Linked DNA regions of Danio rerio. The protein of the gene in region 6 interacts with the protein of the main gene of each other region in a pairwise test. Links are inferred from orthologs where the notes say so. Each region holds a gene or a part of one and is shown on either strand. Other genes may lie near its edges.

Region 1 (4,787 bases), on a different chromosome or scaffold from region 6:
AAATAAAGATGGAGAGAGTCGGTCTGCTTCACCACTGCTGCCAGCTGAAGTCGTCATTGGAGCCGAACACCAGGAAGAAGCCCAGGATGGTGGCGAAGATCACGATGTTTCCCGTCAGCACCAGAGCACACGCTCCCCACGCAATCTGCAGACAGTCAGTCACTTCATTACGAATACATCTAGGCTTCAGGTGACCCTTCACAGCTGTTTGATTGACAGGTGATCCAGCCAATCATAAAGCAGATATTTTATGTTCCTCCTCTCTCTCACTCACACACACACACACACTTAATCAACAAACAATCAACACATGCAATCAACAAACACATACAACACTACACACACGCCACACTTAATCAACAAACACCACACACTGGACACAAACACTCCTCAAACTGTCCAAAAAACACTTCACACACTGTACAGTATAACTCTACAAATATCTGCATATGATTCCAACATTATGTTTTCACAGTGTGTGTTTGTGTGTGTGTTTGTGTGTGTGTAATATTTACCACGGCAGCGCGGGCGAAGATGATGGGCAGGCCGAACGCCGACACCACGATGCCTGTGGTCAGGAACACCGCCAGCTCCTTACAGGCATTACTGGCCGAGTCGGAGTCCTCCACCACACGCCGAGAGATGCAGTGAGGGAGCGGACAGAGGATGTAGAAGAAGAGCAGGAACAACGGCCAGTACGCACTACACACACACACACACACACACACACACACACACACACACACACACACACACACACACACACACACACACACACAAACACACACACACACACACAAACACACACACACACACACACACACACACACACACACACACACACACACACACACACACACACACACACACACACACACAAAGTATGATTAACAAAGAACACGTTAATACAATCAAATACCACACACATGCAGAAACACACACACACACGCACGCACACGCACACACACACACCAGCGTTAAAACAGTCCAACCCCCCCCCAACCAAACAAACAAACAAACTCCAGTATACACAACACAAACACCAGTGTTAACGACTCCACACACACATTAGTGTTAACACAACACAACACACACCGGTGTTACAAACAAACTGCCACCCCACACACAAACATCAGAGATAATGCTCCACACACACCCGTGTTAATAACAATCACCACACACAAACAAACCAGTGTTAACAGCGCACACACACACTAATGTAAACCTTCAGACTCACTTGTAGACAGGTAAAGCACAGCCCAGCATGAGGAACATCAGGCCGATGGCTCCTCCAAACGACAGGCTGATCAGAGCTGAAACACACACACACACACACACACACACACACACACAGATTAAAGAGACTCCGCATGGCTGACATTCACAGCGCGAGTTCAGCGATGATTTAACAAACATTAAATCATCACTGGGCGAGAAAGAGGAGGAACAGATACGGACAGTGACTCGCTCGGGTTGCCAGATCTTGGTGGAACAAACAACAAACAAGAACAGGTGCATTACACACTGGAAACAAATTCAATACTTAATATTGAAAATACTACTGATATTCAGTTATCCAGACCAGTTTATTAACTCTAATAAAAGCCCACAGACGCTTAGAATAACTGGACATGGCAACCCTGCACAGCCTGCAGTGTGTGCATTTTGCTGAAACTTACATTAGACTTCATCCAGTTTAGTTGATCAGTTCCCCTATAGCGCATGACAGTGTGGAGGAAACCCACGTCAACACGGGGAGAACATGCAAACTCCACACAGAAACACCAACTGACCCAGCCGAGACTCAAAACAGCGACCTTCTTGCTGTGAGGCCACAGTGCAACACCACTGAGCCACCCCTGTGTCACCCCATTATTATTTTCTTCATCTTTTATGATTATTTACATCCTAAACGTTTGCACAATCATGACCGCTTTAATTATACATAAAATTGTTAGTCACTAATTATCAAAATTTCCCAGAGATAGTTTGCAGCTGGAAGTGCCTCCACTGCATAAAACATATGCTGGAATAGTTGGTGGTACATTCCACTGTGGCAACCCCTGATTCAGGGACTAAGCAGAAAAGAAAACGATTGAATAATTAGCAAAAGTCTAATGTAAGGCTCGGTGCTGTCGCACTGTGAAAATATAAAATATGGAAATATTTTAGTTAATATTTGTATTTTTTAATATTATATTTTATAAATGTTACTTCATATGAGCTAAGATAATCAGTTGAATAAATAATTGTGATTGTGGAATAAGACAATAAACTGTGAACCCTAAGAGCACGAGTAGCCCCCGTGTCTCTCTCTCTCACACACACACTACTCATGCCTCGTGAGAGGTCAGATGACATCACAATCCTTTGTGTGTGTGTGTTAATGAATATAGATGTGTATGTGTGTGTATAGTTGAAGACAACACTATTAGCCCTGCATGTTTCATGATGTTTAGAGCAGAATTGTATTCTCAGTGCTTCTGTTTAGTTTTTCTTCTGTAGCCTTATTTCTGAAAACTGCTGTGGGCAATATTATTAGACCTGTAACGAACTAAATAATTATGTTTCGATGACTTGCCTAATTAACAGGTTAATATGAAGAGTTTAGACGCAAAAACTCCTCTAAAATGAGCATTTTTATCAGGCTCCTGTGTGTGTGTGTGTGTTCAGTATTGTCACTTTTATGGCAAAGAATAAGTCCTTTTCCTTTACATATTTTTTGAAATATCTCAACATAAACAAAGGAGGCTGAGAAAAAAATGTTCATTTTCGATGGAAATTTCAGACAGCACTTAGAGGTTTTTGCATCTGAACTCTTCATATACTAGTTAATATAATAATGTGTATAGACACACACACACACACACACACACACACACACGTAAATATACTCAGACGTGTACATCCACACACAAACACAACAGACAGTCTGTTTTATGAAAGGATGTTAATCTCTACTAAAAACACAATATAAGTTACTCAAATGTACAGAAAGAGAGAGAGAGAGAGAGAGAGAGAGAGAGAGTGTGTGTGTGTGTGTGTTTGTGTGTGTGTGTGTGTGTGTCTGTGTGTGGATGGAGGCTGTAGATCTGCGGCCGCTAATAAACCTCAAACAGCTATCGCTTGAACACTATACAAACACACACACAGAACACACGCGCACACTGAGAGGTGTTTACCTTTAATTCCGGCCATGGCGCAGGTTTATAAACACACTAATTAATTACAGACCGAACAATTAAAGCTGAGGAAACTCCTCGCGCTGATGATCCTCCGCTCCGCTAGCGCTGCCCTCCACACTGCGCATGCGCGGAACAGAAGCCCTTCCGGTGAGCATCAAAACAATCGGTAAATGGGATACAGCTGCGGATACTCGCATCACATCAATAAAGCGTTTTTTTTAAACTGTGCAAGAATAATTAATATTTTAACATTACTGTGAAGGTTGGGATTGGGGTTGGAGAAGAGTAGACGTTATTAAATTACAACTAATGAGTACTTTAATAAGTAATATGAATAATATTTTGAATAATTACTGTTTTTTACATTACTGTGAGGGCTGGGTTTAGGGTCGGGGTAGGCGTATTGGTGTAGACGTTAATACAACACAACTAATGGTAATTTAATAAATAATTCCCCGTACTTTCCGGCCGCAGCTGTATCCCTTCTAACACGCCGTCCCTTTATGATTAAAAATAAAGGAATAAAATCACATAATTTTCCATTGAATACCATTTATTTTTATGCGAATTATAATGCTTGCTTTATGAAAAATTTAATGTTTTTATGCACGTTCTATATTCATAAATGCACATTTTCAATTTGCAAACGCGTCGTTTTTGTAGTATTTATGCAAGAAATGTAAATTATTTGATAACAATCCCAGATTCACCTAACAAGAAAGCACTTAAAACATAAACAATCTGCACAGCCTATAATTTGTTTAATTTAATTCGTTTATGGCGGGTAAAAGGCACTAAGCCAAAAAGAAAACGAATGAATAAATGATAATTCATTTATAAAAATGTAATTCGTTTAATTAAATAAAATTATTTAATTATTATTTTTTATGCTTTAATATTTCTTAAAGGAAGTAAAACTATTTTTTACTACCCATTTACATTTAAAAATAAAGAAATTTCCATAAACCATAAGTAAATTTATAAAAAGTCCTCTTAAAGAATTGAAATATCCTTATGTTTGAGCTGCAGGTCAGTCCTTGGACTTTGTGTTTTATGTTTTATATGAAAAGTCAATTCACATCAAAGATAGTCTAAATGTAAATTCCTAAAGTAGTGCATTTAGTCAAAATTATCGCTCTAATAAATTGCATTGTTTTTATAGATAATTGTTTTTAGTATTTGGTTTATAAAGAACCCGTTTTGCTGGAACATTGAGAGACAGTTCGTGTCTTTTATTTTGTATGTACGGTGTTGTTGTCCGTGCGTGTGGAACTGAGAGGAGGAATGGCGGCATCAAGTGGAGGAGGAGCAGTGCAGGCGGTTGGCAACGACTGGATTGAGAATGGTCAGGAGTGGGGAGACGGAAATGACGGATCAGGAAATGAAGTAGAGGAGATGGAGGGTAGCGAGAGTTGCGAACCGTGGACAAACTGTAGAGGTAAAAAGCGGAAAAAAAGAAAAAACAAACTAGATAGTGACGAAGAAATGAGATCCAAAGTAAAGGAAGGAAATGAAGAGTATAATGTGTTTGTTAGACTAGTACAGGAAGGGGCGACATTTGAGGATTGGAGTCCTATACAACTAACGAAAGCTCTGTATAAG
Region 2 (3,510 bases), on a different chromosome or scaffold from region 6:
AAATGTTTTATATAACTAGTAAAATGTTATGTACTCACCCTCACCATGGGGAAGATAAAAAAGGTGATATTAGAAATTAGTTAGTTAAACTATTATGTTTAAGGCAAAACTAAATGAGTTGAATATGACTTATCTGTCATCTGTTGAACCTTCATTTTTGAACAAATTTCTTAAATGATTTAATGGCTCACTTGACTTCGCTTAATTCATTATTGGACAAATCAGCTTTTTTGCATGAATCTTGAACAAATGATTTATTGTCGCCACCTACTGGCATGAGTCAGAATAAGATTGAATCAATATTGTGATTTTTAACAATTAATCATGCAGCTCTAATGTTGTATTTTACTTGATTCAAATAAATATTGTAACAAACATAACGCAACATAAGGGACAGATCACCCAAAAATGAAATTTTTCTCACTATTTACTCACTTTTACAAACTTTTATGAATTTCTTTCTTCTGTTGAACACATTCATTCATTCATTCATTCTCTTGTCTGCGTAGTCCCTTTATTAATCCGGGGTCACCACAGCAGAATGAACCGCTAACTTATCCAGCACATTTTTACGCAGCGGATGCCCTTCCAGCCGCAACCCATATCTGGGAAACATACACACACACACTCATACACTACGGACAATTACTAGCCCTCCCAATTCACCTGTACCACATGTCTTTGGACTGTGACCGGAGCACCTAGAGTAAACCCACGCGAACGCAGGGAGAACATGCCAACTCTGCAAAGAAACGCCAACTGAGCCGAGGATCGAACCAGGGATCCAGCGACCTTCTTGCTTTGAGGTGACAGCACTACCTACTGCGCCCCTGTTGAACATAAATATTCTGAAACATTGATAATACGCAGCCATCTAACATCCATAGTAGGAACAAAAAATACTATGGAAGTCAATGGAACAGAACAGTGTTCAACAGAAGAAAGAAATTCAAAGTGGAGGATGAGTTAATGATGAAACATTTATCATTTTTGGGTGAACAATCTCTGTAATGTAGCGGCTAACATTAAAAACAGGGACCTTATTATAAAGTACCCATATTTCGTTCAAAATCCAAAAGAAGTCCAAAACTAGCGCGGTACCGTAGTTTATGAATTTAATATGTCTGTGCATTGGCATGAGTGTGGTTTTGACCTCATAGCAGCAGGAGGATGTAGAGATACAGAGGAAGCAGAAGGTTGTCAATCTGCGACGTATAGGCCTCCAACATGGCCACCATAGAGATGGATCCCACCACCCACGAGTAGCTGGCGTTCAGGTTAATACTGCTGTCGGCGATGAGGAAAACCACCACAGCGATAATCTGAGCGAACACAGAGGACGCCGTGCCCTCAAATGTCTTCTTAGTCCCAGGCCAGCGGATTTCACCCACGTTGCTGCCGAAAACGGATGCCACTGTGTCCCCGACCCCTACAGCAAGGACTCCAGCATAGGGTACTAGCCCACTAGCGCCCCCTAGGCCTCCTTTTGGGGTGCACATCCCAGGTGTCAACCACAGTGGAAGAGAAACGCCAAGAAGAAGATAAATATGAGTGAGAATAAGTGGTCCTGAATCTCTCTCATCAAGGAATAAGGTGAGAAGACGTCGAAGCGGAGCCCCGAATGGTCGAATGCGAAAATAGCGGACATATTCGAGAAACAAAAATGCAGAGAGGCAAACAACCGCAGACAAATGCAGCAAAGGACGATCCAGAGCGAGTCCGGGAGCGAAGGTTAAAACGGTGAGCAGGTGGAAATACTTCCGCACTGTCGTTGATGCTTGATGCTTCTTGCTGCCTGCAGATCGATGACTATTTTGATGCATCACAACGGCAACTGCTAGAAGCGCCAAAGCGGCCCAAAACCCAATGAGCCAAAGTCGAGTGTTTGATTCAGTGATGAAATGCATCAACCAAGTGATTGGATGGTGCTGCGTGAGTAGAGATAGCCAAGGAACCAATAACCCCAATCCCAAAACCGCAGTCATGGTATGGAAGAAGAGCGACGCTGACCAGGTTTCAGATTCCATGAATATAAAAAGCACGGCGAAGAATATTCCCAACAGCACTAACCCTAAAACAGCTACCGGGAGGAAATACGGAAGCGGGTCTGAGTTTGCATTTCCAGACGAAGCCAGAGAGCGCTTAATTAGCTGGTTGATGATAAAACTAATCCCGCCAAGGATCAGAAGGGCTTCGCCGGGGGTGAAGCAACGTGGAAGGAGGTACAGCAGGATTAAACTTAGATACACAAAAATCAGAAGCACCTCCAAGACTTCGATGACCTCAGACACTGTTAGTGTTTGCTTCACGGTGTACAGAATAGCACTACTAGCAATTCCGGCGATAACACAAGTGTTTGTTGGCACCGGCCGCGTGATTCCCAATGCGATGAGCGAGAGGAATAGAGCCAACATCATTCCGATTACTGTGATGACCATTGCGAATCGCTCCATGTAGACGTTTCCCACAGCGAGGCAGCGGCCTCGTAGGGTGAGTCCCAGTAGTGGCAGCACCATACTGGCTGGCAGGACGCCGCTGTTGGCTGAAGGACGAAACTGGAAGACGGCGGCACCAGAGCGAATCAGACGATCCCATTTGTGCTGCACATAAAAAGCCTGGACGGCCAATGCCATGCAGCACCAGGACAGCTGATTCCACACGGCCATGTGTACGGAAACCACCATGGCGAACACCACCGCAGATTCAACCAGCACTGGATCCATCTGCATGACTGCAGAGTGTGTGTGAAGGTTTGCAGAAAAAAAAATGATGGACTTTCTTTTGTGTCAGAAAGTTCCTGGTGCACTAATAAACATTGTCCACTTCTTGTCCTCTCACATACAGCCAGTTAGACCTGGGTAAAGACACATTCAGAAAAAAACAATCATTAGACACAAAGATACAAATAATATCTAAACAATAATTGAAAACACTCAATGCTATAATTGTAAATTACGATATCCTGGAACAGATAGGGCTAACGGATTCGACATGTTACCAGAGGAGGGAGAGGTGTCGCGGATGAAAGTGGAGAGGGTTGGGGAGTCACAGAAGAAAGTGAAGAGTCGTGGGGCGGGGGTGCGTGTGAGGAGGGGGATCAGTAAAATAAGGTGCTGGACCAGATTTCAGAGGTGCCAGATCCGGATCTGACTTGTTCCGGTACAAATTAAGCCCTGGTAACACTTCATTTTAAGTCACAATTTCCGGTGTTTACTAGTGGCTTATCATCTTACATTTGATCTTATCGTATCATTTATATTTATGCATTTAGCAGATTCTTTTACCCAAAGCCACTTACACCCATAACCACACACCCAGGGAGCAGTTGGGGGTTTAGTGCCTTGCAAAGGAATTACCTCATGGTATTGAGGTGGATATTCCCACCAACAATCCCTGCTGGTGCCGAGACTCTGCAGCTCTGCACAGGAAATTTGGCTAGAGGAGAAATGGTTGTGCCCAACTGAGCCTGGTTTCTCACAAGGTTTTTTTTTCCTTCACTTTCGTCAATTG
Region 3 (4,274 bases), on a different chromosome or scaffold from region 6:
ATAAAGTACTAGTTAAACACGAATGACGTGAAAGTGTTTAGCCGGGGCGTGGCACCTATGTCAACATCTCATGGGTGTCATGGACTAAAGTGATAAGTGATGGGGCGTGACAGTGGATTGCAGACTAAATTGAATCGAGCCGAGTGGGGAAGGGTCTAGATGAATATTATAAGAGGGGAGAGAGTCGTAGAAGCAAGTGAAAATGAGGGGGGGGGATGTTTGTTCCGCCTGACGAAAGTGTTGGAGGGAGAGTTGGATGGAGTTAGGGGTTTTTGGTGGGTGGGGTGGGAAAGTGGAAAGTGGGAAAGTAGAATTGTCCTAATTTCCCACCTATTGCCACCCCTGTCTTCAGCCTTACCTTTGATGGACAATGGAAATAAATATTCCGAAAAAAATCTTGATTACCACACTGTAAAACCCAAAAAGGTAACTCAAACCATTTGAGGAAATTGATTGCAACAAACCATTTAAGTTTAAAAACTAATCCTAATGAGTACTGTGAACTTACTCCATTTGAGTAAACGAAACAATTTGAGCACAGTAAAACCCAATAAGTTAAGGCAACTCAAACCGTTTGAGGAAACCAATTGCTACAAACCATTTGAGTAAAAAAAAAAAAAAACTAATGTAAATGAGTACTGTGAACCTATTCTATTTTAGTAATGAGGTATTAATTAACTCATTACCTTTAATACTGAGTTCAAAACTCTTTTCAAATAAGTACAAATAACTTTCTGTAAATCGAATTAACTACACTCATTTTATTTGATAAAGTTGACTGTTGTGTTTTACAGTGCAAGATTACCAAAGACACATTGTACAAAACTCATCAAAGTCAACAGTACACTCCAAAAAATATTTTTTGCTGCTTGTTCAAACAACTAAAAATGAGCTAAATCAACATAGTTCTTGAGTTTTGGGGGGACAATTAAATTGTTATGTTAAATCCACTTAAATTAGTAAAAACAGTTAACTTAATTTGTACTAACATAAATGAATTGAATGGAATCCAGCATTTTTACAGTCTATTGACTTTTGTGTCTTTAATTTCAGGTGTTTTCCTTCCTGACCACTTTGCTGTATTTCATCCACACCATTTTCTCAGCCATCAGATGGAAGTCTTTCTAAAAACATCTGCACTCTGACCTCACAACTGACCTTTTAAGCATGATATCTTCAAAAAGCAAAGCAAAAGACATTCAAGTGATAATAGTGTAAAATGCCTGTTTGCTCTTCACCTTTTAAGTGCATATACTATGAATTTTCTAAAACATTTTCTGCTGGTATTTGTTTTGTAAATTGTTCTCACCTAAAGTATAAATTATTACAAATATGACTTGTATAATAAAGGAAACAATTAATAATCTCTTTGGTGTGGTGCTTCATTATAAACAAGAAAATCCTCCTTTATTGTTAAATAAATGATTGTTGATTTTTACAACATTCTACTTGATTAATGTACCGCCATATCAGTCGTTATAACCATTCGTAAACAAGTGTTTGTCACGTAAATGTCTAGAAAATACTATAAATAAAGCAGATGGGTGTGTCCTTATGGAATCCATCAGATCTGTCAAGATGAACAGGTCTGTCTAGCATTTTTGTCAGCTCTTTAATAGAACTTGTCTTTTGAATTCCTTAAACATTTGTTATACGTGTACTAAAAGGACACACATATGGCAACCAACACTGGCCCATTGGGTCACTTACCAAGCGGAGGGGCAATTTTCTGCATCATTCCTGACATCCTCTTCCTTCCAGAGCTTGTGAGTTGATTTAATTTGTTAAATGCTTTATGCAGGCTATGCTCCTAACTTAGTTTGTCAAAGCAGCTTAACATAGACATTCTGGTACATTGAAAATGTGTCACTCTAGTTTTGAGAGTTGAAGTTCAGTTTAGTTCAGTTCAGTGTGCTTTAATTTTCACTGCAGAAAGTCCAAATACTGAAGAGAAATCTATTGATGCACACATCCCAACCAAGCAAGACAGTGGTGCCAATTGAATTTAAGTTTAGTGCAGAATCTAATATCTGTTCTAATAACTTTTTAAAGGAGATTTTGTGGTTTTATAATGATGATAAGAATGTAAAAATAAAATGTTAATCCAAAGCGTACACTATTAAAGTCAGCTTATTTAAAGTAATTTTCTTAAAAACTATTGATTAGGTAAATAAATACATACTTAAAAAGTGCTAATCTGTCATTTTTAAAAGTGAAAAACCAACTAAAAGTCACTGTAAAATGTTAGATTTGTATTGTATTTTATAATTAAAATGATTGTATAATATTTTACATAAAAAATTCAAATTAAAATAAAAGGTTAAACTGAAAGAAAATGATAACATAAAATAAAAGCACACACATCTATAATCACCAAAAGTGTCCAATAGATCAGGTATTACTAATACATTTGAGAAGCTTTCATTTTCTATTTCATCTATTTTGCGTCATATTTCCATTTGTCCAATTCAGATGTTTACAAAAAACAGAGGTTTCCATCATAATTTTCATTATGTACATTAGCCTACATTTTCTTGATCAGTAACTTCAAGAACGTTATTTATTATGTTCATTTCTCAGATCTTTGGCGGTCTGACGTTGTCACTGGTGGCATCTACGTACCTCATACCTTACAACCCTCAGGCGTACGTGATTTCTGTGACAATAGCCTGCTTCCTCACTACTTTCCTGTGGTTGATGGTGTTTGTCTGTGGGTATCATCATAACAGAAAATCCTGGGCAACCGCAGTGAGTTAATAATCTCTTTACATCTTCACTTTTTTAATCGTTTCTTTTGTGTTTGATCTTATATGTTTTGTTAATTTTCTCTCTGCAGGATGTAGCATACCATGGATGTGCCACAGTCCTCTATCTCAGCGCATCTGTGCTTTTAGCTTTGGTAACCATTGGGTGGAGTCAGCCAGATAACATGTTTTTCCTTATTTACCAGCTGGACATTGCTGCTGTGGTGAGTTTGTGTAGTCTCTTTTTAAATCGGTTTTACCTGTTAAATAAAAAACAATTAAGTAACGGTGAAATATTTGAACACGAATGAAAAAGCATTAATTTACAAAATCTTAAAAATTTACTGCACGTTTTAAACGTTGAAGTCTAAAGTATGTTGACTCTCTGTGTGTCTTTAATTTCAGGTTTTTTCCTTCCTGACCACTTTACTGTATTTCACCCACACCATTTTCTCAGCCTTGCGATGGAAGACCTACTAAAAGTAGCTTTTTAACTTATTTTGCAAACCAAATGACTGCTCAACTGGCCTTTAAAGCATGATGTTTGCAAAAAGTATACTGAAAAATGCATTTAGTTCATCAGCAGTTATTCATGTGATAAATTTATGTAAAGTTTATAACAGTTAAGTTTTTTCCCTCTTCCTTTTCATCATATTTTTTTTGTAAATTGTTCTTATCTCAAGTAATGTTTTTTACATTTATGACTTAATTAATAAACAAAATAATAAACTATCTTTTTGGTGTGGCGCTTAATTATATAAACATATATTTCTTTATTTTTAAATGAAAGGTTAGCAAGATTTTTTTTTAAACTAACTTGCTATTTACAAGATTCTGCTTTTACAATACCACCATAAAACTACTTTTTACTGGGAAAAAAAGACAGACAAAAGCAAAAAATAAATAAATAAATAAAAATGCAAATGTGACACCCTGAGGGCGTCGTGGTTGATACCATAAGCTATTTTTGGAGCACTCTTTAGCATGAAGTTATGCGGTTGCTCAAAAAAAAAAACGAAACATTTGCTGTTTGTTCAAACTATTTTTTATTTGTATTTGTTCAAACCACTTATTTAAAATAAGCTAAAACAACACACTTATTGAGGGTTTATTGGGACAACTTAATTTTTTTATGTTTTCTCCACTTAAATTTGTAAAAACTTAAGTTAATTTAATTCCTTCATTTTTTAGTGCTGTGGTTTGGTGGCTTACACGTCAAAAAGACCTTAAAATATTGTTTCAAGGGCAGCATGATGGCTCAGTGGTTATCACAAACATCTTACAGCAAAAAATTTCACTTGTTTAAGTCCCAGCCAGTTGGCATTTCAATGCGGAGTTTGCCTTTGTTTTATGTTAAATCCACTTAAATTTGTAAACCATTAAGTTAACTTAAGCGTTTTGTGTTGGTTCAACTACCTGGTTAGGGGATTTGTAGTTCAGCATACTTTGTGTGGGACTGAATTAAGATTGTGAAATGTTGACAATAAAAGTAATCTTATGTGTTTAAAGTTAATAGAAAGACTTGTTAGA
Region 4 (4,664 bases), on a different chromosome or scaffold from region 6:
AACTCGCCCTCAGGAAAGAAGAAACTTTGTCAGTGTGTCTCTCCATGTTAACGTCTATTTGAGAGATGAAACGATCCACTGAGTCAGTCCAGAGAGAGATCGGACTTGTTTCTGCCTGCTTGTGAAGTGTGGACTGATGAATAGCAGCCAGGCTATGAAATGGTCACCCCTGGGTCCGTCAGTGTAATGCATCTGAATTAGACCTTGCTGAAGGGGAACTTTTAATTTTGCATCAGAACAGTTGGCAACCAGTGCACAGCACCCCACTGTGATTTGTTTTAGCTGGGATGTTTTAATTAAAGGAATGGTCATCCAAATATGAAATATCCGCCATCGTTTAGGCTACTTGCCCTAGCATTTTAACAAACAAGTCTGCCTTTTTGTTTCTTCCACTAAACATTACAGCTACCATCAATCAATAGCAATAAAATAGATAAAAAGCATGCCTAGCTATAGTTTTCTGTTTATTTCTAACTAAGGCTGCACAATATATTGCAAAATTTATAGTATATGCAATATACACTGTTAAAAAAATAAAGGGAACACTAAAAAACACATCCTAGATCTGACTATATTCTTATTAAATACTTTGTTATTTACATAGTTGAATGTGCTGACAATAAAAATCACAAAAAGATTATCAATGGAAATCCTTTTTATTAACCCATGGAGGTCTGGATTTTGAGTCACATTTAAACTTGTAGTAGTAAAACACTCAACAGACTGATCCAACTTTGATGTAATGTCCTTAAAACAAGTCAAAATGAGTTTCAGTAGTGTCGGTGTTACCTCTATGTGCCCATATGACCTTATACAGGTATAGGAAAAAATAAAAAAAATGCAAAAATAAAGATTAAAACAACAGCCAAACAGAGTCAGAATATCTGAGGGTTTCTGCAGGTTACACTACGATAAATTTAAGAATTTTAAAGACACTTTGAAGACCATTATAAAATAAATTTAGACCTATATCCCAGTTGGAAAAAAATGTATTTACCTAATCAAAAAATAATTGAACACATTTAATAATATAGTAAAAATTATAATAATAATTTAATAATTAAAAATAAAGGTCAGGTCAGTATCCTCAGCAGTGAATACATAGAGAACTTTAAACAAATGTTACTGTAAGAACAATTATTACACCATTATGGTAAATGGAGTTAAAATTTCTAAGTAAAAAAGTTAAATATTTAATTGAGATGGATTGTTGATGATTGTATGGTGTTGGTCAGATTGGATAGCTACACATAAACAAAGGAAAATGAAGACCTGATAAATAAATTAAAGATTTAAGTAGATTTAAGACTTTTTAAGGCCTAAAATTTATTTTTGAGACATTTTAAGACTTTCTATCCATCTTGCAGCCCACACAAAACAAAAAAATCTGAAGAATGTTGGAAACTCATCCATTGACATCTATAGTAGGAACAAAAAAAAAAAGGAATTATATGGCTGCTGCATTCCAGCATTCTTCAAAATATCTTATTTAGTGACAAAAGAAGGAAACTCGAACAAGTTTAGAACAAGTGGAGTGTGAGTAAATGATTTTCATTTTTGGCTGAACAGTCCCTTTAAAGTCTATGTTTTTCCAGTGCAAACATCACAGTTGGTTTTCACACTGGACATCTATGGTGTAAATGTGGTATAGCATAGCCATTTGGGGGAAGTTGTTTTTATATTCACACATTCAGACATTCGCGTTCAATTAAATAGTAAAGCAGAATTTAAATAGGCTAATAGCGGTTAATTATTATGATGTACTGTTATGAGCACCACACATTATATTGTTACTAACTGTAACTAAAAAGCTGATGAACACACTTTTCTGTATGGAAGGTCTGTATATTGTTTAACATACTAGTTTGAATATTCGGTCTGAATTCTGAAATCGCATGTATGACTTCCAGGATCGGACTTAACCAATGAGAGGGGTAAGCAGCCGCTTAGGGGCCCAGGGAATTAAGGGGACTTGACCAATGCGAAGAAGCCTATATTGCTCATTAAGCTTTTTTATAAGTTTTTTATCATATGTGGTAAAATCTGTCTACAACCATTACAAGATTGACATTATTACTACTAAGGGCCACCATAAATAGTGGAATGTTCCTTCCGTTCCGCACATGCAAATATTAAAATCTAATCACAAATATGGCTCCTTAACTGTACATAGTTTGCGAGCTTGCTGTTTGTGACTCTACAGTGAAAAAAAAATATCTACAGTATAGAGAAAGTAAGTGATTTGAGTTTCAATGCTAGGGCCCCATACCTGTAATTGCTTAGGGCCACTGATGACTTCAAAAGTATGACAAATCAACATTAGCACTATTTAATTGACTGTGAACGATGTAGTACTTTGATAGTCACTGGCTGCTAATATGATTTTCCCTATTTGGAATTTGCAAAGAATACTTTGTAATTATGAAATTACATTTAGAAGGTGAAATGCCACTACATGCAAAACTCACTTGATATTGTATAGTCCAGATCTGAGTGAGCAGCGATCAGGAAACTGGCTGAGTTTTTTGGACAGGACCTTGAGATGTTTCTTTGTCTCCTGAATTCCTTTATCCAGTTCATAGTCTGTGGAGGCTGAGAGAGGCAAACCGTCCCTCACTCTCACCACTGAGGCAAACAGGACCATAGACATCTTACAGAAAGCTCAGTTGACACCTGGAAGAACAGGATATTTAGGGCATTCACTGCATATAATGGCCCATTTACCACCCTCTTAGTTTTCTGCTAGCTAGAATAATCTAAAAAATTACATACAAAATCTAGACATATTTTACGAATTCTATAATATCATTCAGCTCTATGTACGTGGACTCATGACATCTGGTGCACACTGTGCTAAGCTAATAATATTAGCATGTTTGCTGACTTATTGTCATCATATCACGTTTGGTGATTGTCTTATGCGCTACAGAACCCCATATCTACAATAATACAGGCTTATAATATTTTAAGGTCAAGCTATTCTTTAAAACTATTCATCGCATTGATTTACAATGATGTGCAGTAGCGTTATATGGCTGTACTGCTACCATAGCAAGATACTTAACTAGACACTAAGCGACACTTATTGCAAGCATTAACACAGTCTTTCAGTGTACATACCTACTGACATGAGCCGATTAAAAATATATTAAGACATTATAACCCTTTTGAGTTATTTTGTTGATATACTATCTTGATCGTTGAGCTCTTCCTGCGGGTCTCATAGCGGACGGTTTTTGCTTACGTACGACACAGCTTCGGCTAAACTCGTAACAACTTCGGCACAGTCCCGGTTTCTCTTCGTATATTTTCGGAAAACATTCGGCTCTGTGACGGTCTCGGTGAGGTAAAGGATTATTTGTGGGCCACTGTAATCCACCGATGTTTTTTATGGAATAACCGAGATATTACAATCAGAAACAAATCATTTTTCCATAGGTGGATTTAAAATAATATTAATTGTATCCTTTGCTTGTTTGATGATGCAAGAAATTTGTTTTTGTTATGAACAATTTATAACATATCAGTTTCCCAGCTCATCCTAAAGAATTTAATAAAGTGGTTTAAGCAATTTCACCTGGTTTATTTCACCTAGTTAAAAGTCACTGTAGAACTAACCGACTTAGTGGATATTCATTCTCCTTTTAGTCTGTTAGATAAGGAATTTAACAATAAGTTTGTGTGTCAAATTTATCTATTTAAAAGGCACATTTCTTCTAGAAGAAAGATATATGGAGGACCTTCATTGAGTTTATAGTCTGGACTAGAACCAGGCTTTTACCTGGGAAATATTGCATGTCCAACAAGGCAAAATAAATGCATTTTACAATTTTACACAATTTATCCTGTAAGTTCTAGTATTTTTAAATTTTTGGACATTGACAGCTCCTGTTCTTTCTGCAAACAAGCAGAGGAGACAGTACATATGTTTTTGATTGTCCAATTGCTTTAGTCTAAAAGATATTATTTTTTATCATAATAACCCAAAAGATAAACCCCTGGAACACATAACTTTTTAAACCTATATGGCTAATTTTTCATTCACAAACAGAAATTTGCATAAAATTACCCTTCCTTTGCTCATTAGAATAAAATTCAACTTTCTCCTAAAATCACTTCATCTTATTAAGAATAATAAATAAAAACCCTAAGATTCCTGAATATTATACAGATGTATTTTAAGATTATCCTCGATTTTAGTTGCTTTCCTCATGATTATACTCGGGGCTTGACATTAACACCCGCAAACCCCCAAACGCGGGTAGATTTCAGCTGTGGCAGGTTAGATGATCGTGCACCCACAGTCCAGCTGAAAAATAATAGTATTATTCATTCATTCATATTCTTTTCGGCTCTGACCTTTGGGAACTTTGGGGTCACCACAGCGGATTTAACCGCTAACTATTCCAGCTTATGTTTTACACAGCGGATGCCCTTCCAGTTGCAACCCATTACTGGGAAACATCCATACACACTCATTTACACACATACATTATACGGACAATTTAGCCTACCAAAATTCACCTATAGCGCATGTCTTTGGACTTGTGGGGGAAACTGGAGCACCCGGAGGAAACCCACACAAACACAGGAAGAACATGCAAACTCCACACAGAAATGCCAACTAATCCAGCTGAGGCTCGATCCAGCGACTTTCTTGCCGT
Region 5 (3,527 bases), on a different chromosome or scaffold from region 6:
TAACCTGATTTTTTTTTTTTTTTAATAAAAGGGCAGGTTTGATCTAAATCAAATGTAAGATTAGATTACATGGTCTGATCCTAATTCAAACTCCCTGTGTTACTTTTGAAAAACCCATTTGCAAGATTTGATCCAATTTATGATCCAAAATCCCTCTGGATTACTTTTGAAAAACTGGGTCCAGGTAATCACTTATTCCAGCTAGCATTTTTGTTTTAAAGTCTGTGTGAACCAGAAATTGCTGAGACTTCTCTTTCAGTGTGTTGACTTTCCTCCAAATCAAATGGAATATTGAGTAGGGGGCGGGGCTTTGATTTTGTTAGCATCATTCTCTAGTAGCAAACTACTTTAACCAAGACATTCATGTTTTGACATCTATTAGACACAAAACTGCAAGGTGGGAATGTTCTACTCAGTGTTTTTCACCAAGTGATGTGGAAGTAGTTTTACCCTGTAATCAATTTTTTGTATATAGCATTTACTTCATTTTTAGTCACTTTTGCATCACTTTCTTAAATCAGCATGTCCTTAGTTCTCAAACTGATGTTGTACCATTCGTTTTTCCTACTATGGAAGTCAAAGAGTTCCAACATTTTTCCATGTATCTTTTTTTGGATTGAACAGATTTGTTAAACTCATAAAGGTTTGAGGAGTAAATAGTGAGTAAATGCTCATTTTTGGGTGAACTAACCCTTTGGGATGGTGGAACATGGCGGCGAGAGAAGACTACAGATGGAGGAGCTGGCTTAAATGTTTAATAAGACATGGGTAGAAAGAGCAGAAAGGGCTGTTTCTGGAGCACATTATGACTTTAAGGAGAACTGGGGATTTCTCCTTCTGACAGGGTCTTGAAATGGACGGACAAAGCCTCCTCTTCAGGATTCGGTGGTCGCCTGAAATCTTCTTTGGTCACCACGTAACCCACCAGCACCCCAAAGCACACCAACAACAAGCCTAAAACATTGGCCAGGATGCCCTCAGGAGCAAACGTTGAGTAAGTTGACCTGAAGATAAGATTATCATCGTTTAATAAATAGAAAACCTTTCTGATTTTATTATTCAGATTCCTATTATGGATTTGTTTTTGGGAGCCACCCATTTATGTGTAAAGTGTATTAATGAAGTGTTATTAATCATATGTTCAATATATTTAATCCATTTTTATAAACCGTTTATGATTTATGCAGTAATGGGAACAAACTGAATAATATCTTAAAGCAATGGTCTCAAACTCAATTCCTGGAGGGCCGCAGCTTTGCGTAATTTAGCTCCAAGCATCTTCAATTCACAACCGCTTAATAGTCTCTAGTAGTCTTAAACACCTAGATTATTTGCATCAGCTGTGTTTGATTAGGGTTGGAACAAAACTGTGCAGAGCTGCGGCCCTCTAGAAATCCAGTTTGAGACCCCAGGCTTAAAGGGAACCTATTATGCCCCTTTTTTTACAAGATGTAAATGAAGTCCCTAGAGTGTGTATGGGAAGTTTCAGCTCAAAATATAGGTCTGCAGACCCGACCAGATTTCTTGCGGCGCGGGAATAAATTTCAGAATAAAGCGCAGAAGCGGTCGGTAACTGGTGTAATTTTGGATGGGAGCTAACACTCCCAAGCGAGCACACGTACAGTATGCATGTCTGTGAATTTAGCTTGTTTGTTGCTGTCTGTGTGTGTGAATGAAATCTACAGCTCAAAAGACATCACAAACAATAGTTTATGGCTCATTAAATCTCCCCCTTTTAGGTTTTGATCCTAATTTTGCCATTTTGGTGACTGTCACTTTAAATTCAAATGAGATCGTGCTCTTTTGAGAAGAGGGTGGAGCCACAAATGCCTATTTTTCATCAGGGATAAGCAGTATTTATCTTACAAGTATTTAAAATATATTGAAATACATTGGTTTATGAAAATAACTTTTTAATTTTAACTTTTTTTTTTTATAAGTTTTGTGTCAATACTTTAGTGTCTTGTATTTTTGTATTTTTAAAATACTTTGTAGGAAGTCTACATGATGATGTCATCTTAGGAGAATGCTTAAACTGCACAAATAATAGTATTTTTGGATGAATTGGTGATGTAGATGCCAAGAAAATAAGACCAACAACATAAACAAGTCCTACAGTGGCTGACTTATACTTGCTCAGAAAATAAGCTGTTACTATCAAGCATTGTTTACTTCACTAAGTCAGTTTAACAGTGAAGGGATTGATTGAATATGCCTGCTAGCATACAAAATACAGTATTTCATTTTGATACTTGTTGTGGCTGCTGTATTTTGTAGATTATTTTGATACATGTAAAATTAAGGTATTTGGTATTTTAATTTAAAATACATTTCAATGTATTTTTGTCCATCCCTGTGTGACGGCATAGTGGTAGATTCAAAAACAAGCCGTGGTCTACTCCCGCCTTGTATACTTCCGCTTGCTCCCACTTGTATACGCATGCAAATGCTGCAGACCGGAAATGTAAGCTTGTTCGAAAAGTTTAGCATTTTGCTGTGTTGCACAGTTCAAGCTTGGTGAACTCTGACCTGCGAAATCACATCACGTGATAGCGTGAGAAAAATAGATGATCAAAACATGACCTTTCTGTACAGCAATTATGTAAGTATGGAGCAATTTCTCATTTTTTAATGTCTAATCATATTGTTTAATCCAACCCCTTTTCACAGCACTGACAGAATTTCACAAGCTCAAACTCTAGAGCAGAGACGCCCAAACTAGGGTATGTAGGCCAGAGTAAGCCCACCATCCCATTTTAAAAGAGAGGGAGAATGATGGAGAGGTCAATGAAGTGAAAATCTTTGACAAAGATAGTCGTTTAAAATTTAATGTAATTTTTTGTTTGTTTTGTAAATAAATCTGTATATAAGATAAGGGCCAGGGCAAGAATAAGTGCAATGCACAAGACATCGGCGAGCAAATCAAGGCAACGGCTGGTGCAGCTTAGTGTATTCATTTAATACGTGTGTGTGTGTGTGTTGAGCATCAGTTAAGACAATGTTAGCACCTGTTAGCTTAAATTGTGAGAAAAACTATATAATTTTGAGCTTTTGTCAGCTAATTTTATCTTCCGGGTTTAAACTAATTTTTGGGGTGGGATCAAAACCAGTGAAGTAGCGTGAATCTGCTAGTGGAGTGATGATGTATTGGTTTCTCATTATTATTTATAGCGGAGTTTTCTTATCCTATAAGAAGACCCTGCTTCTTAATTACTCATGAGAGCACGTGCAAGCACGAATCAAGGCAGACCTGCCAAGCTGTGAGACCCAATGTCTGCGTGAAACTGCGTTCACGTACAGCAAGCGGTATTTAGCCATTTATGAAGGGTTGTAACGTTATGTGTTTGTTTCCATGATTCACAGGGGTTTGTTGCATGTGTTTCTCTGCGATGCTGTCAGGGCTGATACAGCAAAGCTGTTTGTGTTCAACAAGCATTTTTGGACTTTGTCTTTTATCAGTTAAGTTTGTTACCATTCAGACACATCGCCTATATCCATACTGCTGTGTTCACCTATGTTTAAAATCC
Region 6 (2,872 bases):
TACTGTAAAACTCAATAAGTTAAGGCAACTCAAACTGTTTGAGGAAACCGATTGCTACAAATTATTTGAGTTAAAAAATAATCTATATGAGGACTGTGAATTTACCCCCTTTAAGTTGAAGTAATAAGGCGTTTAATGAACTCATTACCTTCAACACTGAGTTCAAAACTCTTTTCATACGAGAAGAAATAACTTTCAGCCAATTTTGAGTTAACTGCACTCATTTCATTTGATAAAGTGGACTGTTGGGTTTTACAGTGTAGGCAAGTCACTGTAGAGGTTTGTTTTGTAGCTAATCGAAACAATCTAAATACAATTCTTAAAGGGTGCTAATAATATTGACTTTAGAAGTTTCTCCCAGCGAAAAACTTACTATTTACTTAAGAAGGCTTTCTCCAGAAGAAAAGGAAATACTGTTAAAATATCCTTGCTTTGTTAAACAACACTTGTGTATTATTTGAAAAAGAATTAAAACTTCACAGAGGGGTTATATACACCCTATATATGTACAGTGCTCAGCATATATAAGTACACCCCTCACAAAACTCTCTTTTAAATTCATATTTTAATAGGAAGCTGTACAATATTATATTTGAGCATATACATTAGATTAGTCAGCACTGAAGCCAAATCTGGAGCTTATCTAACAAAATGACTTAAATAACGCTCCAAAAACTAGTACAGCCAAATTTATTTGTTATAGAAAAATAGTAAATACAAATTTTAAAAAAGAGGAAAAATCAAGAGAAGCAAAAAATTTGAATTATTCAGTTGAAATTTTGTAGGTTGCAAATTATTTTGCAATATTTTGCTTTAATTTAATTGTATTATCTTTCAATTTCTAAATATGTTTGGTGACTAAAATGTTATTTTTAATATATAATATAATAATACATATATCTGTTTAATAAATGTTTAGTGTAAATGCACCAAAATACATAGCCTAGATTCACTAAGAAATGGATATAAATATTCATTTTCAAAATGGGGTGTACTCAATTATGCGGAGCACTATATATATATGCATGCTAATTACTGCAAAACAGTATTCTAATCCAAACACTTCTAGTCCAACCGTTTTAGTGCTGCCTTTATCTACTGTTGAGGAGCGCTGCTGCCCCCTACAGAAGATGTAGGGTATTTCATATTCAGAATGATGAGGGATACTAAAAAAAAGCATTATGAAGGAACCATCAAATTCAGTGCCTGAACATCTGCACAGAGATAAAGCGTAAAAGAACCAATCCAAACGAGCAAATCAAGCTGAACATCACTATCCTGTCCCGAACGCTGTGACTTAAAAACAGGTACTGTACATCCTTGACTGTGTGTAAAAGATGAGAGATAACTGAACATAGATATTCTGCTTTAAATACAATGCCATTATCAGTGCTTATTTAGAATAGACTGGTACACAGGTTCGCTATGCGTGTGCTGTTGAATGTAAAGATTGAGTGTCTGCTGCATAGAAACACAGTAGAGTTTCTCACTGGAAGAAAAATAAACACTTCTGTTTGCAGTTCCAGTCCCTGAAAACACTGCAGCTTCACTTCTTCCATGCGCACGTGTGTGCGTCTGTGTGTTTGAGTCTATTTGAGACACACACACACACACACATAGTCTCTCAGCTCATCTAGTCACATAAACCAGTTTTCTAGAACTTTTTTTAAAGTCTGCTTTGGTGTGTAAGGGCTGACAGAGGGTGTTTTGGGTACTGATCTGTGCATGTGTTCAGGTTTGGTATCAGGTGTGTCCTGCAGACGGGGCGTCCCCCAGCCGGATACTGCCCAGGAAGGTGGTGTGGTTGCTCATGGAGATGGAGGTGTCCTCGTATACCATGCGAATGGAGATTCTCTGACGAGCTCGTAACAAACACACTCCGGCTGTGTAGCAGGTGTTGAACTTGCGCTGGCCGGTTTCGATGCTTCTGGTGCAGCGTAAGAACGGAGTTTTGTCCACCATCACCTCGTAACTGGCAATGTCGGTGAAATTCAGGTAATATACCTGGTGCAAACACACACACAAAGCGCATTGGGGCTTTTAATGTTGCTGTGGTATATTTGTGAAACGCATGCTGTATATGTGTATGTGTGTGTGTGTGTGTGTGTATAAGCAGTAGAGTCCAGGGACTGTACTCACTTCTACCTGACTATATATAAAGTATGTTCCGTCAAGTAGGACCTCCAGCTCTCCAGAGCGCGAGTGCATTTTAAACACTCTCTGGTGGATCGAGATCATCCTCCAATTCTTCAGCACACCTTCTGACAAATCTCACAGACAGACACCAGTAAATACTCAATCATCTGTTGTGACTGTAGCGACACACACACACACACACCAGGGCTCAACTGTTGAGAGCTTTTTAATATAAACTGACATTTTCATAAAAAATTCTAATTTTCAATGATCAATAAACTTTAAAAAAAGAAAAATGCCTTTTACACTCTTATTATAATACAGTATTACACTATTTACACTATTATTAAAATATTTTTCATATATTAAACATCTTTATGCTAAAGTATTTCAAAGTGTATCCTTGTGATTCAAAGCATCATTACTTCAGTCATTAGAGTGACAGAATCTGAATAATTTAATATGCAGATTTGGTATTTAAAAAACATCTGATGTTATTATGAATGGAATAAACGATCAATTATCAGTGGAAACTGACACAAATTTCTGTTTGTAATTTTTATGTGAGCAGAAAGTTCTAAAAAAACGTTATTAGTGTTTATTTTTTCAAATTTAATATGTGAACTTGGTTCAATCACACAAAAGCTTAATACAGGGTTTCTGCAGGTTTCATCAAGTCAAATCTAAGACTTTAAGACCTTTTTAAGAACATTGGGAATGAAATTTCAGATTTACA

Evidence for each region.
Region 1: the proteins of eda (region 6) and zgc:92045 interact in binary tests that used the Homo sapiens proteins (3 or more experiments, as listed by UniProt). The two-hybrid records come from large-scale screens. The link is inferred for Danio rerio from reciprocal best matches to the Homo sapiens genes EDA and LEPROTL1.
Region 2: the proteins of eda (region 6) and dolk interact in binary tests that used the Homo sapiens proteins (3 or more experiments, as listed by UniProt). The two-hybrid records come from large-scale screens. The link is inferred for Danio rerio from reciprocal best matches to the Homo sapiens genes EDA and DOLK.
Region 3: the proteins of eda (region 6) and mala.1 interact in binary tests that used the Homo sapiens proteins (3 or more experiments, as listed by UniProt). The two-hybrid records come from large-scale screens. The link is inferred for Danio rerio from reciprocal best matches to the Homo sapiens genes EDA and MAL.
Region 4: the proteins of eda (region 6) and sec22a interact in binary tests that used the Homo sapiens proteins (3 or more experiments, as listed by UniProt). The two-hybrid records come from large-scale screens. The link is inferred for Danio rerio from reciprocal best matches to the Homo sapiens genes EDA and SEC22A.
Region 5: the proteins of eda (region 6) and cyb561 interact in binary tests that used the Homo sapiens proteins (3 or more experiments, as listed by UniProt). The two-hybrid records come from large-scale screens. The link is inferred for Danio rerio from reciprocal best matches to the Homo sapiens genes EDA and CYB561.

Annotation. Positions count from the first base shown.
Region 1 is NC_133189.1:363,663-368,449, reverse strand, and holds the start of zgc:92045 (leptin receptor overlapping transcript-like 1), read right to left. Parts: upstream 3,318-4,787; 5' UTR 3,199-3,317; coding exon 3,183-3,198; intron 1,314-3,182; coding exon 1,238-1,313; intron 703-1,237; coding exon 516-702; intron 146-515; coding exon 29-145; 3' UTR 1-28. Other genes in the region: F-box/LRR-repeat protein 12-like, read left to right, coding at 4,470-4,787. UniProt on the Homo sapiens protein: Negatively regulates growth hormone (GH) receptor cell surface expression in liver. May play a role in liver resistance to GH during periods of reduced nutrient availability.
Region 2 is NC_133196.1:5,409,598-5,413,107, forward strand, and holds the end of dolk (dolichol kinase), read right to left. Parts: 5' UTR 2,730-3,510; coding exon 1,155-2,729; 3' UTR 672-1,154; downstream 1-671. UniProt on the Homo sapiens protein: Catalyzes CTP-mediated phosphorylation of dolichol, the terminal step in de novo dolichyl monophosphate (Dol-P) biosynthesis. Dol-P is a lipid carrier essential for the synthesis of N-linked and O-linked oligosaccharides and for GPI anchors.
Region 3 is NC_133186.1:32,864,643-32,868,916, reverse strand, and holds mala.1 (mal, T cell differentiation protein a, tandem duplicate 1), read left to right. Parts: upstream 1-1,640; 5' UTR 1,641-1,676; coding exon 1,677-1,766; intron 1,767-2,580; coding exon 2,581-2,748; intron 2,749-2,836; coding exon 2,837-2,968; intron 2,969-3,149; coding exon 3,150-3,224; 3' UTR 3,225-3,476; downstream 3,477-4,274. UniProt on the Homo sapiens protein: May be involved in vesicular trafficking from the Golgi apparatus to the cell membrane. Plays a role in the maintenance of the myelin sheath, and in axon-glia and glia-glia interactions.
Region 4 is NC_133184.1:39,560,853-39,565,516, reverse strand, and holds the start of sec22a (vesicle-trafficking protein SEC22a), read right to left. Parts: upstream 3,275-4,664; 5' UTR 3,125-3,274; exon of another isoform or gene 3,121-3,124; intron 2,674-3,120; 5' UTR 2,651-2,673; coding exon 2,469-2,650; intron 1-2,468. UniProt on the Homo sapiens protein: May be involved in vesicle transport between the ER and the Golgi complex.
Region 5 is NC_133178.1:21,562,644-21,566,170, forward strand, and holds the end of cyb561 (transmembrane ascorbate-dependent reductase CYB561), read right to left. Parts: intron 1,005-3,527; coding exon 812-1,004; 3' UTR 694-811; downstream 1-693. UniProt on the Homo sapiens protein: Transmembrane reductase that uses ascorbate as an electron donor in the cytoplasm and transfers electrons across membranes to reduce monodehydro-L-ascorbate radical in the lumen of secretory vesicles.
Region 6 is NC_133180.1:37,397,284-37,400,155, reverse strand, and holds part of eda (ectodysplasin-A), read right to left. Parts: intron 2,271-2,872; coding exon 2,146-2,270; coding exon of another isoform or gene 2,140-2,145; intron 2,005-2,139; coding exon 1,744-2,004; 3' UTR 1-1,743. UniProt on the Homo sapiens protein: Cytokine which is involved in epithelial-mesenchymal signaling during morphogenesis of ectodermal organs. Functions as a ligand activating the DEATH-domain containing receptors EDAR and EDA2R. May also play a role in cell adhesion.